Rattus norvegicus: one gene and its partners. The protein of the gene in region 3 interacts with the protein of the main gene of each other region in a biochemical or structural test. Links are inferred from orthologs where the notes say so. Each region holds a gene or a part of one and is shown on either strand. Other genes may lie near its edges. The genes, in order: Paip2, Pck1 and Ubr5.

Region 1 (3,749 bases), on a different chromosome or scaffold from region 3:
CTGCTCCCCGTTTCCCCCCGGCCTCCCCTTTGCCACTTGGGCAACAAAGCTCATTGTTTCTACTCACTATGCGCCTGCGCGTCGCCACGCGCAGGCCCTACTGCTGCGCCTGCGCGTTTCTGCGGATGCTGGGTTTTGGGAGAAAAGGGACTGGCAGGCTGGCGGTGTCCCTGGGGAGCACTCTGTAACGGTCGAACGGCTTGTATCTTTTTCAACCTCTTCCATTTCTTCAACATCCCTACCCCTTTATTTTAAGCTTTATCACGTCCTTCAGATAGGGCCGTTGTTTGGGGGCGCTGGGAACACACAAGGCTTTAGCTAGATAAACTTAAAAGACCCGTTCAATTTTTACGATTTGATACTGGTCCTTTTACCTTTCGTTAATATGTGCTTATTCACCACCACTACCACCTCAGTGAAAGGAAAGAGTAGGATAGTAGGGCTTGTGTTGAGGTTAATTTTTAAAAAGGTGCTGAAGCAGCCTGCTGTAATTTTCTAAATATGTCTAAAAGATTTGGCAGCCCCAAACCCTTGAACGAAGTTGGTTTTCTGTTTGCTGACAGCCTTTGACTCTTATTTCAGTGAACGTTCATTTGTGTATGCTGGCTGAGAGTTTCTTGTATCAAGGTAGCACGTTTTTCACACGTTTCTTTTAGCAGTGGATAGGTGTTGATTCATTTAGTAGCGTCTGAAATTTCAGCTGTGGATTGTTCCAACTAGATAAGTCTATGCAAGGACTTTAATGAGTTCCAGTACCTATTCTGTGGTTCTGGTTTGTTAATGACGGGATATTGAGAACAGTCTCTGTATTAGTGGTCTTGAACAAAACAATTCTCACAAATATGTATCCCAAAGATAGGTAACTTTCAAAAAAAATTATACCCTATTTATCTGTTTCTTTAGGGGATGGGGGGAATGGCGATTCACTGTAATGGTTAAAGGCTGTGCATATTGGTCCTTGAGAACTCAAACCGAGGTAGGTAATTTCTATCCTCTTTGGGACAGAGTAAGTTTATACCAGGTTTTCCCTCCAGTAAACAGTAACTCTTATTCAGGTTTATCCCGTTATAACCCTAGATAGTGTTGCCTCCATTTTAATGGAAATTATACGATGTCCACTGTTAGCAATTTTAATGGGTATTGTGGACGATTGAAGGAGTATTTAATAACCTTTTGGACTTTTCACATCTTTTTATAGTTTATAAAGTATTTTCATATAGCATCGTGTGAAATGGAACAGGTTTATTTTTACCTATTTTAAGTTGAGAAAAGGGATTGGAGAGATGGCTCAGTGGTTAAGAGCACTGACTGCTCTTCCAGAGGTCCTGAGTTCAAATCCCAGCAACCACATGGTGGCTCACAACCATCTGTAATGAGATCTGATGCCGTCTTCTGGTGTATCTAAAGATAGCTATAACATTTATATATAATAAATAAATCTTTAAAGTTGAGAAAACAGGAACATGTTAGGCATTGTTCAAAGTACTTTTATAAATATTAATTAAACTGTGTGGTGGCTGAATTCTGTGAAACTCAGCATTCCTGTGGCTGTTAAAGGGCCTAATGTGGTAGCAAACACCTTTGATCCCAGTACTCAAAAGGCAGAAGCTTCAAGGCCAACCATAGCTACATAGTGAGATCCTGGGGTGGAGGATACTTGAAATATGGCAGGCTCAACTAAAGGACTAAAAGAGTAAATTCTAATTAATTACTTTAATTGGTGCCATTGTACATGGTCAGCTGCCTGAAGGGTTTGAATTAACTCTCTTAATTTTAGTACCTGGTTGCATAAATTAGTGTAGTGTTTCTGATATAGTTGAGCTTTTGATTAAACTGGAGAATTAACATTTTTACCAGTTCACTTTTATAAAGGAGATTAGTGTTATAAACATTAGGGTTATAATTTTTGTTTTGTTGTAGTGCAAAACTAACATTTCCAGCCCTTTGGGGCAAAGTCCTGATAAATTAACCAGACTGCCTACTTCTTTGCTTCCTAAGTAGCTAGGAATTCTAGAGTCTGCCACCACACTGGCAAGTCCTAGCCTTTAATTAGGATTTTTCTGTAACATTGTTGGACTTGTACAGGCATAGGACATGTGGTTTTTAACTTGTATCTTCCTGTAGAGGATTAATTGTTCTAAATGGTTAACTGAGTTTGATTAGATCAAGTTTATAATCCTAGCATTTAGAAAGTTGAGGCTAAGTAAGCACCAGTGCTACATTGCTGTAATCCCAGCACTCGGGAGGTAGAGGCAGAAGCTGTAGGGAAAACACTCACACAGATAAAATTAAGTAATCTTTAAAAAAAAAAAGGTGTATACGTGCGTGCTCTTGTGCGTGCATGTGCACACCTGCTGCAAAGATGAGGGGGTGGAGTAGGAACCAGGGATGATGGTTGTAAGCTACCATGTGGGTGCTAAGGACTGAACTCTACAAGTACTCTCAGCTGCTAGCCACCTCTTCGGCCCTAGGTACTTAAAAAATTACCCATTTTACATGTGAGGAAGGTGAGACTCCGTTTCAATAACTTATTACACAGCTAATAAGAACAAAGCAGACTGATGATGAAACAGCATTTGTGGCTGCTGGTTTTGTTTTTTTGTTTTGTTTTGTTTTTTTTTGTTTTGTTTTGTTTTGTTTTTTCTTCTTTCTTTCTTTTTTTCTGGAGCTGAGGACGGAACCCAGGGCCTTGCGCTTGCTAGGCAAGCGCTCTACCACTGAGCTAAATCCTCAACCCTGCTGCTGCTGTTTTAATCTTATGAGCCAGGCTTAGTATATAACCCCAGCTAACCTGGATCTGCCTCTTGACTGCTAGAATCAAAGGCGTGCTCTAACACTGTCTGCCTAGCTTGTAGCTACTCCCACTTGCTTGCTTGCTTCCCCCCACCCCCTTTGGAAAATAAGTCTTGGCTATATACATAGTAGTATGAACTTTTTAAAGATTATTTTATGTATGTGTATATTTATCTTATGTGTACAACTACGCTGTCTTCATTGGATCCATTACACATGGTTATGGTTGCTGGGAATTGAACTCAGAACCTCTGGAAAAGTAGCCAGTGCTCTTAACTTTTGAGCCATCTCCAGCCCCCAACCCATACCGAACCTTTTAAACTCCAGATTCTCTCATTTCAGTCTCCCTGAAGTTACAGGTTAAGGTTACAGGTGTGCTTCACTGTGTCTGGCTCTTAGAATGTTCTTGTAATTATCTTGTGTCAAACATTATGACAGAAATTTAATGCTTCCCCAAAACTTCTGTGTGGAAAAGACTAATGAAAATATTTTTCTCTTGTGAATCTTATTTTGTTTTTGAGACAAGGTCTTATTTCATATTCCAGGCTGGCCTAGAACTTAATATGTAGTCTGGTATGGCCTCAAACTCAGGGTTTTTCTACCTCAACCCCTTGAGTGCTAGAATTACAGGTAGGCATCACCATGCCTGATAGAATATTTGTTTTTATTTAACTCCTGAAGAAACTGGTAGACTAATAGATAGAGTGCATGTGGGAGGGGGTAATATAAAGAGTGCAGTGCCAAGGAGTAACAGAAGACAAATTAATACCTTTCAGTGCAAATAAACAAAAGAAACAGAAGATAACTCTATTAGAATTTTAATGACAATTCTTAAGAGATGAAAGTAGTGGAGAAAGACAATTAACCCATATTTTAATGGTTTTAATGGCACTGTAAAAGGATACTGTTGGGGGTTGGGGATTTAGCTCAGTGGTAGAGCGCTTGGTAGGCCCTGG
Region 2 (3,749 bases), on a different chromosome or scaffold from region 3:
ATCTCCCCAAAGGCAGATCCCCATGATCCGTCCCTCCTGCATCGGGGTAAACTGATGGGGTGCAGAGGAATAAAATTCCCACTGTCAGTGTTGCTCTAGTGTGTCTGAGCCCCTTCCCAAGAGACGAACGCTGGGGGTACTTAGAGTCACCTCGGCGTTGACTCCAATCTGCCCTTAAGTCCTCAGAGGTTGGGGAATCTCGACATGGCCCACCTTTGCCACCCCAGGCCCTCCGAATTTCCCGCCCAGGATTCCCCGACGACCACGTACCAGCATGTGCTCCGCCAGCCACCCTTCCTCCTTAGCCAGCCTGCTGGCGATCCGCAGCGCAAAGCATTTCTTCCCAAGCAGTGAGTTCCCACCGTATCCGCTTCCGAAGGAGATGATCTCTCTGCGGTCCGGGAGGTGAGCAATCAGGGTCAGCTCGGGGTTGCAGGCCCAGTTGTTGACCAAAGGCTCTGAAAACAAGCAAAGCAGTCGTGAGCTTGCGATACACACATCCCTGCCCAAGTCTCCAGGCTGGCCTCGAACCAGCTACGGAGCTGAGAGGGACCTGGAACTGATCCTTCTGACTCCTGAGTGCCGGGGTGATAGGCCTGTCCCAGCATGATCAGTTGATTTGGTGTCCGGCATCAAACTCGGGGCCTCTTGCACCCTGGGTGAGCATCCTACCCACTAAGCCCTTCCCCGAACTCTTCCCTTTTGATCTGGAAAGGAGGTACTTACTTTTTAAGGGGAGAGGGCACCCCACGGAGTGGAGGCACTTGATAAACTCCCCATCGCCCAGGGCCTCCAGCACAGAGGTCCCCATCCGTGTCATGATCCGCATGCTGGCCACCACATAGGGCGAGTCTGTCAGCTCAATACCAATCTTGGCCAGAGGTGAGCCCAGCGGCCCCATGCTGAATGGGATGACATACATGGTGCGGCCTGCAGAGGTGGATGGGTAGAAATAGGTAAGAAGCCAAGGAGGCCCTCTGAGCTTCCTTGACTCATCTTCCAGCTACGTCTTCCACACCATGCCCTACTGGCCACCAGCCTCTGGTTTCAGAGACCAGTAGAAACAGCAAAATGCTGAAATTAAACTTTTCACAGCCCCCCTGTTTGGCTGAATTTAGCTGCTTTACGTCCACATGAATGGGAAGCATTTTGTGTGTGTGTGTTTTCTGCTTTATCTATTTGACATTAAGGATTGGAGCCAGGGCCTTGGAAATTCTAGGCAAACACCCCACCGTGGAGACTGTTTCTTTTGAGACCAAGCTGTAAAGTGCTCAGGCTGGCCTTAAACTTTGAATGCCCCTGCCTCAGCTTCCATGTCTGAGATGACAGGTCGGAGCCACCCGTACTCTCAGAGAACAATTTGATATTCCGTGAGACAGAACCAGACGGCGAGCTTCGCACGCGGGCCACCCTTTGCAGCTCAAGCCACCACCGGGAGCGTGAACTGTGCACACAGCACACTGTCAGGCCTGGGGTCTGGCCTCACCCACCTTTCATGCACCCCGGGAACCTGGCGTTGAATGCTTTCTCGAAGTCCTCTTCTGACATCCAGCGGCCCAGCTGGCTCTGCCCACTTTTGGGGATGGGCACGGTGTCTCTCTGCTCTTGGGTAATGATGACCGTCTTGCTTTCGATCCTGGCCACATCCCTGGGGTCAGTGAGAGCCAGCCAACTGAAAAAGTCACAGGGATGCCTTCAGCAAGGTACCCTTGGGGATGTACCTCTCTTGCCTACCTCAGGCTCTTCCCGGCCTTGCAGACACAAGGACGTTGACCGTGTTACTTAGGTATGGAAGCCAAGCCAACGGGAACTTGACCAGGTAGACATTTGCTAAGCCATGAGCTGGCCCTAGGGAAAGGGGCCGCCTTGCATGGCTATCTGGAATCTAGAAGCTGGCTATGCTAACCTCACAGGGTGTCTGGATTCTGACTGATCTCCTAAGCTTCTCAGGCGTTTGCTACTGCAAGGGTCTTTATTCTCCAGACTCCGAGAAGGTAGAGCTGAGGAGCCTGTAGGCCAGAGACTTTGGGCTGAAGGGACTCACCAGTTGTCATATTTCTTCAGCTTGCGGATGACACCCTCCTCCTGCATGTGGGCCAGCAGCCGCCCGTACTCCTCCTCGGAGCCGTCGCAGATGTGAATATACTCTGGCTGGCACAGCTGGGCATTGCCTTCCACAAACTTCCTCACTTCCTGGGGCAGGCTGTCGAGGCTGCCCTGGATGACCTTGGCAGAGAAGTCCAGACCATTATGCAGCTGAGGAGGCATTCTTGCAATGGTGTGGAGAGAGGCAGGGACTCTGGTGCCACCTGAAACAAAAAGAGAGGCTCTTGAACACCGGCACCCATGGGCCCTTCCCGTTCCTTCTGTAGACTTTGCATGAGTTGCACATGGCTAGAGGGCCTTGGTTGTCAGGGCAAAGACTGTGAGTGGACCCCTCAGTGGTACTTTTGGAGAGGAGAGTGGAATGGCCCTGCCTACCTTTCTTCCTCCTTTTGGAAGGTCTGGATCAGAGATCTCAGAGCGTCTCGCCGGATTTCCCCTGTTGGCCAAGGGTGTGTTCCCAGAGGGAAGGCCAACCGTGCTTGGTAGCTAGCCCTCCTCGCTTTAAATAGTATACAGAAGGGAGGACAGCCCTGCCCCTCAGCTGGACCTGGAGGCTCGCCTCTGACGTAAGGGGCCGGCCTTTGGATCATAGCCATGGTCAGCACGGTTTGGAACTGACCTAACACAATAAACTTTGGGGAGATAATGATTGAACTTGCTGTTGTTAATGAATGTTGGGAGGCCTCAGGCCCCCGTGTCAGCCATAGTTGAGTCCTTACACAACGTTTGATTGACTAAACTTTGACCGTGACTGTTGCTGATGCAAACTATAGGCTCTTGCCTTAATTGTCAGGTGGGGGTCAAGGACAGGGCTGGCCGGGACGCCTCTTGGACTTCATATGCTGCTGGCTGCACATTTTGTGTGCCAGTGGCTGCTGGTTGTCAAAACACCACAGCTGTGAGGTGTCACTCCCACGGCCAAAGGTCATGAGAAGGGAATTCAGCTCTGAGACGTGAAACTTCTAGACAAAGTCTGCAACAGCCGAGTTGGCTGGGGTGTGTTACCCCACTAGGTGTCTGCTGGATCCTCTGGCCACCCCAAGATGAACTGCAGAGGGAGGGGTGATTGTAAGCTTCATTCCGAGGAGGCAATGCCTGATATAGAATAATCACTCTATATACATACTGACCCCTGCTCTAAATGTTTTATGTCAGCTCATTCATTACTACTGCCTGAAATGGAACTATGACAGCCCTGGGTACAGGCTGGGAAACTGAGGCAGAAAGAATACTAAGCAGGTCCAGCTGGCTGGTGAGAACCAGAAGAGTTACATGTCAGTCAGGCTGGGCTGCAGAGAACCGTTGGATCCCCTGTCTTCTCTAGTCCCCTTAATGTCTTTTTCAAGACATTCTAGGTTGGACACAATCACCCTTGGAGCTGCCTGGATTCTTCTTGCATCCAAGAGTCTAGGGAGAGGAGGGGAAGGGGCTTGGCAGTTCTACTGGGCTACACTTGAGCAGCGAGACCTTTATCCCAGTTGTGAAGAACCTTCTCTGCAAGACACAGACCTTCACGCCAATTGAACGAGCCGAGAGAAGTTGCTCACTGGAGTTTAGAAGTGAGTGAGAAGTCAATCAGAGAGAGCCCATTGGGCAGGGCTGGCTCCCACAGCTGGGCTCAGAGTAGGGGGCAGGGACATGGC
Region 3 (3,649 bases):
TTGGTATAGCTATACTGTTTTCATAATCAATTTCTTATAGCTTTAAATTCTACACTGTCTGAATGTCTAAAAAATAAAAACAACTTTAAGGCAAATCACACACTGAGATAAAGCTTATTTGCAAATGATTATAATCATTTTTTTTCTTTTGCTTCTGGAGTCATGTGAATTTTGTCTTTACAATAAAGTGACCACCCAGTCACAACTCTAGAAACCAAACATTATGTGATCATGTTCTTTGACTATCGGAGGTACAGGAAACATTTATTATTTTTATTACTTTAGCAATAACATCATTTTCCCACCACGAAAAAATTTTACTGTGTTCAAAATTTGTTTGGATGTGAGCACACACACACAGATTTTTTTAGACAGGTTCTCACTATGTATCCAAAGCTGACCTCGAACTTCAGATCCTCCTGCTTTGGCCTCCCATAAGGAACAAAAGAATAGCCTAATTCTAAGTTAACAAAATACTTAATCATACCTTTAAATGTAATGAGAATAAAAACTCAGGCCTGATTGCTTACAGGGCTTGGGAAGAAGACTTGGCTTTTACCTCTCAGAAAGACGTGCAGTTTCCTACCTGACTCATCATTGAAAGACGTGAAACTGATGAGCATCTGCACATTGACTTCACCACAGCCGTTCACCAAAAGTCGGAAATCCTCTGCTGTTAAGTCTTCTAAAGAATTTTTTGGAAGCACATCTAGTAGACCCTTTCTCATTGCCTAGAGAATTTAAATTATTTCTTTTATTGTAAGAAGTACTTTATTTTCCAAGGCATCTGTTTATACTATTAAAACTCAATATCTAATTTTAGCAGCATTCTCTAAAAACATTAGTTCTCTAATGCGAGGAGAAAGAGTAGGGCTGAATTATTGTGACTTTCCTCTTAACAAAGTCAAGAAAGAACAATGGAAAAGTTGAGCACAGCAAACAGGCTGCAGTTCAGAAGTTGCTTAGTGTTCTTACATCCCAGTAGAAAAGGGAAACTACTTTTTAAATTATAACATATTAAATATAATTATATTTAATTATAATTATAAATAACACAGACAGCATATGAGTTAAGCATCACTTCAGTTGGTGAAAGTGCATCCCAGAAAACAATAAAGACAAACCTCCCAGACTCAAACCCAAAATCTATTGGGAAATGTACCACCCAGAGCTATGCTAAGTATCTGGGGTGCATTAATGGTTCGATCTTGGCCTCCTCATTTTGCAGAAGGAAAGCCATGAGCAGAAGTACTAAGTAGCCTGCCAAAGTGCAGCTAGAAAGTAGTCAGGAACTTCATCTCAGTACAACAATTCCCAGCACAAGAATCAGAACCACTCTTGGCTTACAGGAATTTTATCCTGCAAAGGGAAAGCATTAACACCGCAGGAACCATGTGCTGATTCTTCTGAAGGGGCCTGAATGCAGAGCTGGTCCTTGGGTCACTGTCTTGAGGACTTATGTTTGGAATGCCTCTCCACTGCTGTGACTAGGGCAATGACCCTTCTGATAGATAAGCCATGTTATTTGTGCTGACAATATGGTGGAAACATGCTTTCCTCTAAAACTGCAGTAGTGGCAGCTGGCTGTACAGCGAGGAAACACTAATAGGACTAGCCACCAATAAAAACCCTGGGCTGTGACTCTCTGAGGCTTCCCTGAGCAACGTTCGTCGTACATGTGCTGAAGCACTTTATACTGAGTATATTGTCTGTGACAGCCCACATGAAAACATGTACCCTGAAGCTTGTACATGAACCCTTCAGGTTCTACCTAACACAGCCTCCTCCTCTGCTTATGCTGCTGGGGTGTCTTTACGTTTACTAAGTGTAACTGGCTGAAGTCAGTGAATCCTTCTAACTAGGATATTCGTAAGGAGAGGTGGCCATAGGATGACTTAAGAAGTGTATTTAAGTCCTACAAGCCCCCTTTCAACTTTTGCTCACCAGAGCTACTCTTTTTGATTATACAGTTTTTCCAACAGTTATAGCCAAAAGTAAACGAGTACTTAGTCTGAACTCTTGAATTTAGTTGTAAACTCATTTTAAATTTGAAAACTTTGGCCTTTTGCAGAAGAACAGATTACTGGGCTAATTTACCACAATGCAAAAACAAAAAGTTTCACCACATGACATCCATTGAACTTTCTAGAAAATACTTACGTGCAATGGCTGTTCTGCAACCACCAGCATTCTGTGCTCCGCATATTTCCTTACATACTCATATACATTCTGCGGAGTGACTGGTATATTTACACCATTTGGAATAAGTTCAACCTACAAAAAGTTCAGCAGTGACATTTAAAAGCAATTCTGACAAGCAGTAACAGCTCAAGAGAACTTTCTACCTCACTCCTTCTTGATTCTTCTCTCTGTTCTCTCCTACAATGCTCATTTCGGGCATGTGCCTTGTCTCAATCTTTCTCTCTTGGTTCCTGCCCCAAACTGTCCTGTATTTGTCTAACAAATAACCCGATCCTCTCTCGAAGATCAGAAAACTGGGTTTGCTTTACCTGGCCTCCACCCTCTTCTTTACACAGGTCAACTGCAAACGCCAAGTCCATTGCTGAGAAAACAGCATCGGCATCTGAACTCTGAGATGCAAGGATCAGTTGTCGTAAACTCTCATACATCACAGGGTCGAAAAAAGCAAAGTCATGCCAGTTGACCTGGAGAATAATCATAAAAGTCAAGTGAAGCGTCCTTTCTCCATGCAACAGCAAATTAATCTGTAATGGCTTTACCTTTTCGGGGAGGGGAAGTGATAAGGATTGAACCCAGGAACTTGTGCACGCTAAATAAGTGCTCTACTACTGACCTATATCCCGGCCCTAATTTTATTTAACTTACAGGTACAGTGATAAAAGAATTTCCCACAAGATACATAAAACTGCTTTAAAGAGAGAAAAATTAGAAAGTCTTTGGCTTTGACAATTCATTTACTTTTTTTTAAAACAGGAATTAAAAAGTTAACTGCTATGAGGTGAAGCCAACAGCGTGCTTTTGTAGGAGCGGTAGTAACAAAAACAATAATTAGTTTCAAAAATAACTGGAAAAGCCAGCACAACTTATTGAACATTGATCTTGACTAAATATCCCATATGCTCTTGATAGTCACCATATGATACAGGTCACTAAATCCAAGTGACAAACTGGACTGTTCTAAGAAACTTGGTAACTTACAAAGCTCACATCACCAAGTTAAACTGAGGTCTAGCAGATCTCATGAGCTAAAGGGTCAACATATGAGTATTTGCATGTTTGAGAGCTTTGGTTTTCAAATTCTATGCATAAGAGCATTTAAACTTAAATTTGGTCTCGGCTAAAAAGGAAAATACATACTTCTCACTAAAATATCCTTATTTCTGATATATTCAGTGGTTTGGTTAAAAGCAATTAATTTGGTACTATTAATGTGATCACGTATCTTGGGATGAAGAGTGACAGGCTTCTGGAGTTATTTTGTGGAATGGATATGGTGTAACCATTTAACTGTGTTCTAAAGATTGTACGTTTAGTGCTGCTGTCGACTTTGTCGGAAGGGTTTTGTAGCCGTCAGTGTGACGGAAGACTCACCTGGTCAAAGTACAAGGATAACTGCTGAATGTCCAGCTATAAATAAATGAGAGATCTCTACCACCCTACCCAAGGC

The links.
Region 1: the proteins of Ubr5 (region 3) and Paip2 form a complex in vitro, tested with the Homo sapiens proteins (2 studies listed by BioGRID and IntAct, with this or other methods). The link is inferred for Rattus norvegicus from reciprocal best matches to the Homo sapiens genes UBR5 and PAIP2.
Region 2: the proteins of Ubr5 (region 3) and Pck1 form a complex in vitro, tested with the Homo sapiens proteins (2 studies listed by BioGRID, with this or other methods). The link is inferred for Rattus norvegicus from reciprocal best matches to the Homo sapiens genes UBR5 and PCK1.

Annotation. Positions count from the first base shown.
Region 1 is NC_086036.1:27,474,361-27,478,109, forward strand, and holds the start of Paip2 (polyadenylate-binding protein-interacting protein 2), read left to right. Parts: upstream 1-917; 5' UTR 918-976; intron 977-3,749. UniProt on the Homo sapiens protein: Acts as a repressor in the regulation of translation initiation of poly(A)-containing mRNAs. Its inhibitory activity on translation is mediated via its action on PABPC1.
Region 2 is NC_086021.1:182,347,406-182,351,154, reverse strand, and holds the start of Pck1 (phosphoenolpyruvate carboxykinase, cytosolic [GTP]), read right to left. Parts: upstream 2,584-3,749; 5' UTR 2,482-2,583; intron 2,310-2,481; 5' UTR 2,269-2,309; coding exon 2,045-2,268; intron 1,673-2,044; coding exon 1,491-1,672; intron 931-1,490; coding exon 727-930; intron 459-726; coding exon 271-458; intron 1-270. UniProt on the Homo sapiens protein: Cytosolic phosphoenolpyruvate carboxykinase that catalyzes the reversible decarboxylation and phosphorylation of oxaloacetate (OAA) and acts as the rate-limiting enzyme in gluconeogenesis.
Region 3 is NC_086025.1:71,005,196-71,008,844, forward strand, and holds part of Ubr5 (E3 ubiquitin-protein ligase UBR5), read right to left. Parts: intron 2,667-3,649; coding exon 2,511-2,666; intron 2,275-2,510; coding exon 2,161-2,274; intron 732-2,160; coding exon 587-731; intron 1-586. UniProt on the Homo sapiens protein: E3 ubiquitin-protein ligase involved in different protein quality control pathways in the cytoplasm and nucleus. Mainly acts as a ubiquitin chain elongator that extends pre-ubiquitinated substrates.